Bombyx mori: one gene and its partner. The protein of the gene in region 2 purifies or fractionates together with the protein of the main gene of each other region. This does not show direct contact. Links are inferred from orthologs where the notes say so. Each region holds a gene or a part of one and is shown on either strand. Other genes may lie near its edges.

What was found. The genes of interacting proteins can lie anywhere in the genome.
Region 1: the proteins of vacuolar protein sorting-associated protein 41 homolog (region 2) and vacuolar protein sorting-associated protein 33A purify together in Homo sapiens (affinity purification with mass spectrometry; 5 studies listed by BioGRID and IntAct, counting the BioPlex papers as one, with this or other methods). This does not show direct contact. The link is inferred for Bombyx mori from reciprocal best matches to the Homo sapiens genes VPS41 and VPS33A.

What each region holds. Positions count from the first base shown.
Region 1 is NC_085122.1:6,404,475-6,408,687, reverse strand, and holds the start of vacuolar protein sorting-associated protein 33A, read right to left. Parts: upstream 2,855-4,213; 5' UTR 2,675-2,854; coding exon 2,558-2,674; intron 2,127-2,557; coding exon 1,927-2,126; intron 1,155-1,926; coding exon 975-1,154; intron 342-974; coding exon 221-341; intron 1-220.
Region 2 is NC_085123.1:777,721-781,815, forward strand, and holds the start of vacuolar protein sorting-associated protein 41 homolog, read left to right. Parts: upstream 1-1,149; 5' UTR 1,150-1,374; coding exon 1,375-1,807; intron 1,808-3,174; coding exon 3,175-4,095. UniProt on the Homo sapiens protein: Plays a role in vesicle-mediated protein trafficking to lysosomal compartments including the endocytic membrane transport and autophagic pathways. Acts as a component of the HOPS endosomal tethering complex.

The DNA of each region.
Region 1 (4,213 bases), on a different chromosome or scaffold from region 2:
GTTCATGAAATTTGTGCTTCTTGTATTGAATTATTTACAAACTTAATAGTAGCAAAGGTAATTTATTTATCGATTTAAAAAATTAATTATAAATATCAAACTCAGAAATCACACAACACTGATGTGACTATCCAAAACATTTAAAGTATAACTTTGCAAATATCACAATTAAAAGACATTGTTTCTGTCTCAGTTAAATGTTGTCAGTCAAGAAACGTACCTGTTTAGCTGCTTGGCCTTTCCCGAATACACGAGGCACAATTCCATAAAACTGTTGGATGGTTCTTAGTGCCTGTGCAGCATTGTATATGCAACTTGTGTCACCTTCTATGTAATTTTCTCTGCAAATTATTTCAATGTTACACATCAACATGCATTAGTTTTGTATTTAAGCCACTTCAAACTTTTCATTGCAGAAATTTAAACAATGTTGTACAATAATTACTTAAAAAAAAGTTAACTTGTACAATCATGTTATAGAAGCATTTATAACTAACTGTAACTTTAATCTTATCGCAGCCTAAAGGATAAGGCAACAGGTGCATTCGTATCGAGCAATGTGACTGAATTCTACAGGCATTATTTTTCTAATGAATATGTACTTAATAATAAATATATATAAAAAATTAACAAATAAAAAAAGTCTTTTATTTCATGCAAGTGACTTATAAAATCAAAATTAAATCAATGGATCTATGTGATTAATTAACTAACAATTATGTTTGTTGAATAATACTAGGTATTATTGCTACTTCCATGAACCCCCCCTCGGGTAAAGGCCTCCTCCAAGTATGTATTTAATAAATGTTCACAAATGATTTCCACAGTGAGCACTGATATAGTAACATTACTTACTATGAGTAAACCCGTCACTTTATCATTTGGGACGTAACTATATCATCAAAAGGATATTGAAAAATTTACTTCCATCTTTAAAGATTTTAAAATTAACATAATATAGCAAATATACTGACCGGAAGTCATTTTGTAGTTCTAAAGACATGACATCACTTTCGAATGGAATGATGTCACACTTAAACTCTTCAATTGTCATGTTACTGACCACTCCTCTATTGGTGAGATGTACTTTGCACAGTTCACTTTTGCGTGGCACAAAGAACAAGTGAAATTCTACTGGAGCTGTTTGCTTGGCCCTGTATATTGAGTAATATATTCGAATTTAAATTTTAGTTGGTTTCTGTTATTGTTGGTATAGACCAGGGGTGGGCAAATATTTTGATAGTAAGGTCACATTGCAGATGAAAATTTGACCGCGGGCCAAACAGTTTTTTTTTTCAAATTTTACTTAAAAACTAATTGCTTATATGTGTGGACGAGCTCACAGCCGACCTGGTGTTAAGTGGTTACTGGACACAGTGGTTAATGCGCCACATACCTTGAGATATAAGTTCTAAGGTCTCAGTATAGTCACAACGGCTGCCCTACCCTCCAAACCGAAACGCATTACTGCTTCACGGCAGAAATAGAAATAAATAATATTTGTGTTTTTAATAATAATATATATAAAGCTTCACGGGTCAGACAAAATTCTACCGCCGCCATTTGCCCCGGCCTGGTATATATCACTGGACTATATCAATCTATACTAGATTTATTTACCTATGCTTTTTTGTAACTTTACTTAATATGAATAAGTACTCGATTAATAACTTTAGAAACTTTGATCCTTGTAAAACTGTACTATTTTAAATTGCACCTTAATTGTTATATTTTCACACAACAGGCTCAATCCAGATACTATCTAAAATTTTGTAACAGGAAAATAAGTAAATGAATTATAAAGCACGCTCGGCAAATATGATAGCGAGAAATTAATTAATATTGATATTCATTAACATACAATGTTAACAATTTATACTCTAATCATCACTTACAAAACAAAAAATAACTACACAAATTCAGTACCTTATTGATAAAATGTAATCAGCAACCAAATCCATCAATGAAAGTTTGGGTCTACTAATAAATATAATATGTTTGACGGTTATATTGGGTAGGCTTCCTGGTTTCAGAAGAAACATATTGTTGACTTCATGGTCTTTAAGGAATGAGTACTGAGCAACAAGGCCTACAGGCCCAGCTAGCCAGTCATCCCAAATTGTTACCTGAAAATTAAGATTTTTTTAAATTATTTATTAGAGCCATACACTTATTAAGTTAAGTCGGCTTTTAAAATTAAGAATCAATAATATAAATTTTACTCTCTCTATGAGTAAGCTCTCAGACGTGTCAAAAGCCAATAGTAACTTAACCAGTTTCTAAAAAAATACTTAACAGAGTGGAACTGAAGGTAACGTTCAAACATGACAAGTAAAAACAACAATTTATTCTTCAGTACGAGTTGATTTCTTCTATCGGAGGCGTTTTTAAATTTGAACAATATTAATTTCGAATAAGTCAGTGGCCAGTAGCATTTATAAACAAATAATTTTTTACACCTGTTACAGTAAGTTAAATATAGATTTAGAGCTATTGTAACTTCGGATAATAAATAAATGGTAAGTTGTGAAACATCATAGTATGTTTATAAACTTACTTTAGGGCCACTGTACTGTTGTAATAAATTTAATAATTCTGTTCTCATTGTTTCTTGAAGTAAAGCAACATTCAGTCGTCCACCCGCAAGGTGGCTGCTCATTTTAGTTTCTCTCATTTTTGTTAAGCAGCCTTTTTAACAGATGTATTTAATAATTGTTATTTGTTGACTGTTTTTCTTTCAACACATAAATGAATTTATCATAGATACAACTTTATCATTGATACAAATTTATGTTTTTATCATGTTTTTATTGACTACATTTTGAGTTGACATTTGAAGGCAAAGCGACACTTGACAGTTTCAATTCCAACTGAAAAGGCAAATGTATCAAACTATACAGGCCAATATTTTGTGTATTTTGTTGAATAATAAAAAAAATGCAAAATGAATGAAATATGAGACACTGATCGATTACGGCGAGACGAAATTACACGAGATAAAATATAGACTCAGTAAAATTTTGCTTATTTATTACAAAATTTCACTGGATTTTTGGAAGATCTTGCCCAGCGGTTTTGTTTCATTTTCTTACATTTGTGCATTTTCACAGATACTAAGTAGATAACAAATCATTGTTTTTACAATTCAAACCTAAAGAAGGACTATATTGACAAATTAAAACAATTCACACAACTTCGCTCCTCGCATTCCCGTCGAAAAATCCTGACATGTGATAGTTTTGTTCAGAGTTATACAGATTATGCGATAATTTTTTTTGTGAGCCGGGGCTGAGCCCCTATGAGGTCCCCGCGCCTAGAGGGTGTGCGGGGTATCTAGGACCGCATTGGACTGCGGGCCCAAGGTATAGAATTTAGGGGCCTATCCACTTTACAACTTCCCTAAACTCTCGCCCAATTGCCTGATGCCCCCTGAGGTCAGATCCGGGTGAAGTATAGGGGCTACCGCAGTCAATGAATACTTCAATCAGACAATTATTTATTGGTAGTAGGACCTCTTGTGAGTCCGCGCGGGAAGGTACTATCACCCTGCCTATTTCTGGCGTGAAGCAGTAAAGCGTTTCGGTTTGAAAGGTAGGGCAGCCGTTGTAATCATACTTGAGACCTTAGAACTTATATCTCAAGGTGCGTGGCTCATTTACGTTGTAGATGTCTTTGGGCTCCAGTAACCACTTAACACCAGGTGGGCTGTGAGCTCGTCCACCCATCTTCGTTGCCCCGTGACCTTCACCTACAGGGGCCGGGCCGTACGATCACATTCTTACCTCCGATCTCAGTTTTGTATACTGTTGGAACAGCGCCCCTAGCGGCAAACGTAGGCAAGCGTTTCAACTCCATACAGATTTGAGTTAACCTTTATGCTATCGAGAACGGTAAAAAACTGGCACTAAGCGTACAGATATCAAATTATAATAGCAAATGAATAGATAATGCATTCGAATTCAAGCACAGAACCATTTATTTCAGTTTTGTGTTATGTCTAGTAATTTTCAGATAGCAAGCACATTATATTTGGTGGCATTTTAATGGAAATTTCATTCATTGCTTCGAGACTTAGAAAAAAAAACTTTGGTAACAAGAATGTTAGTGGATACACCGGTATCCATGACAATCAGAAAATAATTAAATTGAAAACTGGGAATCTGATCTAAGAAGTTATCTAACATTTCATTCCGTCCATCCATCCATTCAAATT
Region 2 (4,095 bases):
TGTCTATAAAAAATTTAAATGTTAAGTTTATAAAAATCTTCAATTAAAAAATAGATACATATTCTGATAAATGGAAAATGAAATGATGAAAAAATGAATTAAATTTGCTTTATTTGAAACTGTAATTAATTGGGATGAAATTAATTAACACGAAAAGAGAAGAGATGAAATAAAAACTCAGTAAAATAGTGGTTATAAGACTATTTTATCTGATCAATGAGAATTCAGTGGACCTTTTGGAAGAACGTGAGACAACGTCCAGCAAGTTACCATTATTATCGTTTATGCTTACAGAAACATTTTTAAATAATACAATTCACACAACCTCGCACCTTACGTATCGCTAAAAAGCTAATTAGATTCGAACCAAATAATATTGACGGATCTTATATATTCTGTTGATAGCGGTAAATACACATTTCATACTTTTCTAATACATATATAAATATATAAGTTAGACAACCAAATGATTTTTTAAATCTTGATAGGCTCGCTATGAGCGATGCTAGGTGAATTGTTTTATTTGTTTATTTAGTGTTCCTCTAAGGTTAAATGAATTACAATAGCGACTTAAAAACCATTTAGCATTTACGAAAATACATGCAATATATGTGCTGTAAGAGGTAATTTCCGGTTCTTCCATGAATTGATGTACTCATGTTATATTATTATCTACTTCATATAATTATGGAGCTGAATGATGCTACCATTGTGAACTTCTTTGGATTGGATTTTTCTGCTGGGTCTAATCCACTTAAAAGGATTAATTAAAGTCTAGTCTAAGTCTTTTGATTTTGTTATTTAATATTTGATTACGATGGTGGAACGGAACGGTGGTTTAATAGCTGTTTAGGATCTGTAAAAATGCACAAAAATGCGGGAAAATAAAAAAAAAACACTGAAATAAAAAAAAGACGAAGCATGTACTAAAAAGTCCACTAACATAATCTCAGTAAAGAAACTCCCATTTTACTACGACTATAATTCATCCCATCTGAATTCGATTTCTGTAATTTCATCCCAATCCATTACAGTATTAAATAAATCAATTTCACATCATTTCACCTATATTCTTTTTTTTTCATAACATTTTTAGATAACAGAATATATGTCATGTATAAAAGATTACAGTGTATGGTAATCGCCTTAACCTTCGCCAAACCTGATGGAAAATGGGACTTCTACTATAAGCTATCGTTTCACAAACCGTGCAAGCCACAATAAAAAAAAAACTTGTTTTGTCAAATTCAGTTAAATGTCAAAATCAGAAAGACAATAATCAAATTCAGAAAAGTGCAGAACAGAACAAACGAAAGAAGAATTACGTTTTTATTATTAAAATGTGATTTTTTTAAACGGTTGAAATTCAAAACAATGGCTGTTAATATTGAGAGCTGCGAAAGCTTGCCTCCCGATGAGGAGCCGAAGCTAAAATACGATAGAATGGAAAATGATTTATTGAATATTTTACTGAAAGACGCTGTCAGTTGTATTTGTGTTCACACCAAATTCATCTGTATCGGAACACGTTGGGGTGTGATACACCTGCTAGATCACGAAGGTAACATAGTTGCTATATCCCAGGACGGGAAGACTGAATTCCAGGCTCATACTATCGCTGTCAACCAAATATCTGTAGACCAAAATGGGGATTACATAGCGAGTTGTTCAGACGATGGTAAAGTTGTCGTATATGGATTGTACAGTAATGATAACACGCACAACCTAAATTTAGGCAGGGCAGTGAAATCAGTTGCATTGGATCCTTGCTACTTCAAGTCAGGTTCAGGAAGAAGATTTCTTACAGGTAAAAAACGTTGTACTTAGTATGAATAGAATATTTAGGAAATCCTTTAAACCTCATAACCAAGTCTTATGTAAAAAACTAGTACATAAATAGTCAATAAAATATATAAATGTCGAATTTAAAATGAATTTATTCTGTAGTAATAATTAAATAATTGAGAACGAATTACACACATCTGGCCCCAGATAAGGATGTCCTGAATTATGAATGTTAATTGTAAATGAATTATGAATGTGGCTGCCCCACCCTTCAAACTGAAATGCATTACCGCTTCACGGCAGAAATAGGCAGGGTGGTGGTACCTACCCATGCGGACTCACAAGAGGTCCCACCACCAGTAAAAAAGACAAATCTGAAATTATTCAAAATGAATCTATTGAAAATGAATGAATCTATAAAAATATTCTGTAAATATATGGTAGGTATACAATATCACTGTTTAAAATGAAACTATAGTTAGATAAAAAAACACAACTACATTTATGCCAGGTCATTACACATTAACCATATAACTTGTGTATAAATCCACCTACTCTGCCTAGTAAATTTTTATTGACTTGAATACATTGACTTTTTGCATTAAAAGTGTACAATTTCCAAAAATATTCGAAATTGAGTTAATATGCTTAAATATTTGGTATCACCAGTATTTTTCTCATAAATACTGTCAAAAGAGTGTAGTTTAGTTTTAGTTTTTTTTAGTTTACCTATGATTTTACTACTATTAATAAAATCAATACATAATTTTATCTTACTTTATAAGACAGATAATGTAACTGATAATAAAAAAAAAAATGTTGCAAAGATGATTAATATTAAAAATATTACATGTTAAACCTTTAAAACACTCTCCTATAAAATTAGTTAGTTTTGAAATTATACAGTTTTAATGCGAGAAGAGGACATGTGTTCAAAAGATTATAAAACTTGAAGCATACATGTGATTCTAGAGCTGATCATACATGGCTTGAACGTACAACTTCACTTCATTAAACAATATAAATATAAACAACATTCAGATCATAATTCAAATCGTTTTATTTTTTCGCAACTTTGCTTGTAAATTATGAAAAGGCAAACTCGGGCAGAAATTTTGTGGATGTTCCCTTCCCTTTCCCTAAACTCACCCATAGTACGTAACTTATGCTTCCCTTAATCGTTTTGTCCTTTCTCTGCTTATGATGCATTCGTGATTTCCAGTGTTAAAGGAAGGAACTTCCATATTACGATGCCATTAAGACTATTAACTCATGTCTTGAGGTACGACGATAGTGACATCGTGACATAGTTTCCAGTAAACACTAAATTACCAAGTGAGTTATGAGTTTGTTTGCTCATCCAAAATTATAACATGTGTATTCTTCCAGGTGATCACAGATTGACACTATATGAAAAATCATTCCTTAATCGAATACGAACTACAGTATTACATGAATGCAAGGGAAACGTACAAGCCATGTCCTGGCAAGACAGGTTTGTAGCATGGGCAAGTGAAGTTGGGGTCCGTGTTTATGACCTAGTTGCTAAATGCTCTCTAGGTCTCATCCAATGGGAAAAGAACCTAAATAGATCTATTGAAGACTACCGCTGCAATCTTCTCTGGTCTGCTCCTAAGACTCTAATGATCGGCTGGGTTGATACCATCAGGATATGTGTCATTAGAAAGCGAAGTCAAATTGAATTACAGACTCGTGATGTCACAGAATACCTCGTGGATCCAATATATACCTACCAAATAGATTATTTTATAGGAGGTCTGGGCCCTTTGGACGATCTATTAGTTTTATTAGCCGTTCCAAAAGAATGCGATCCTAAAACCGGAAAGTCGCAAATGCCCGTTTTAATAGTGGCGAATTATAAAGGCTGCGAATTCTGCGAGATATCTTGGGAGACTTTAGACATAAGGGGCTACCAAGAATATAACTGTAATGATTACCATTTAGATATGCTTATAGAAGAAAACAGATTTTTTATTGTTTCCCCCAAAGACATTATCATAGCGAGCCCTTACGACATTGACGATAGAGTCACTTGGTTGACCCAACATAGAAGGTTCGAAAAAGCTATTGCCGTGTTGGAAGAGGTCGGTGGTAAAACTTCTAAGCACTCCGTGATGACGGTGGGCGTACAGTATTTAGATCACTTGCTCTCTGAACATCTTTATCAAGAGGCTGCCATTCTCTGTGCCAGAATATTTAAAAACGATAAAGTTTTATTAGAAAATCAAATATTAAAGTTTGCCGGCGTCAAACAACTTAGAACTATAAGTCCCTACGTGCCGAAGACGC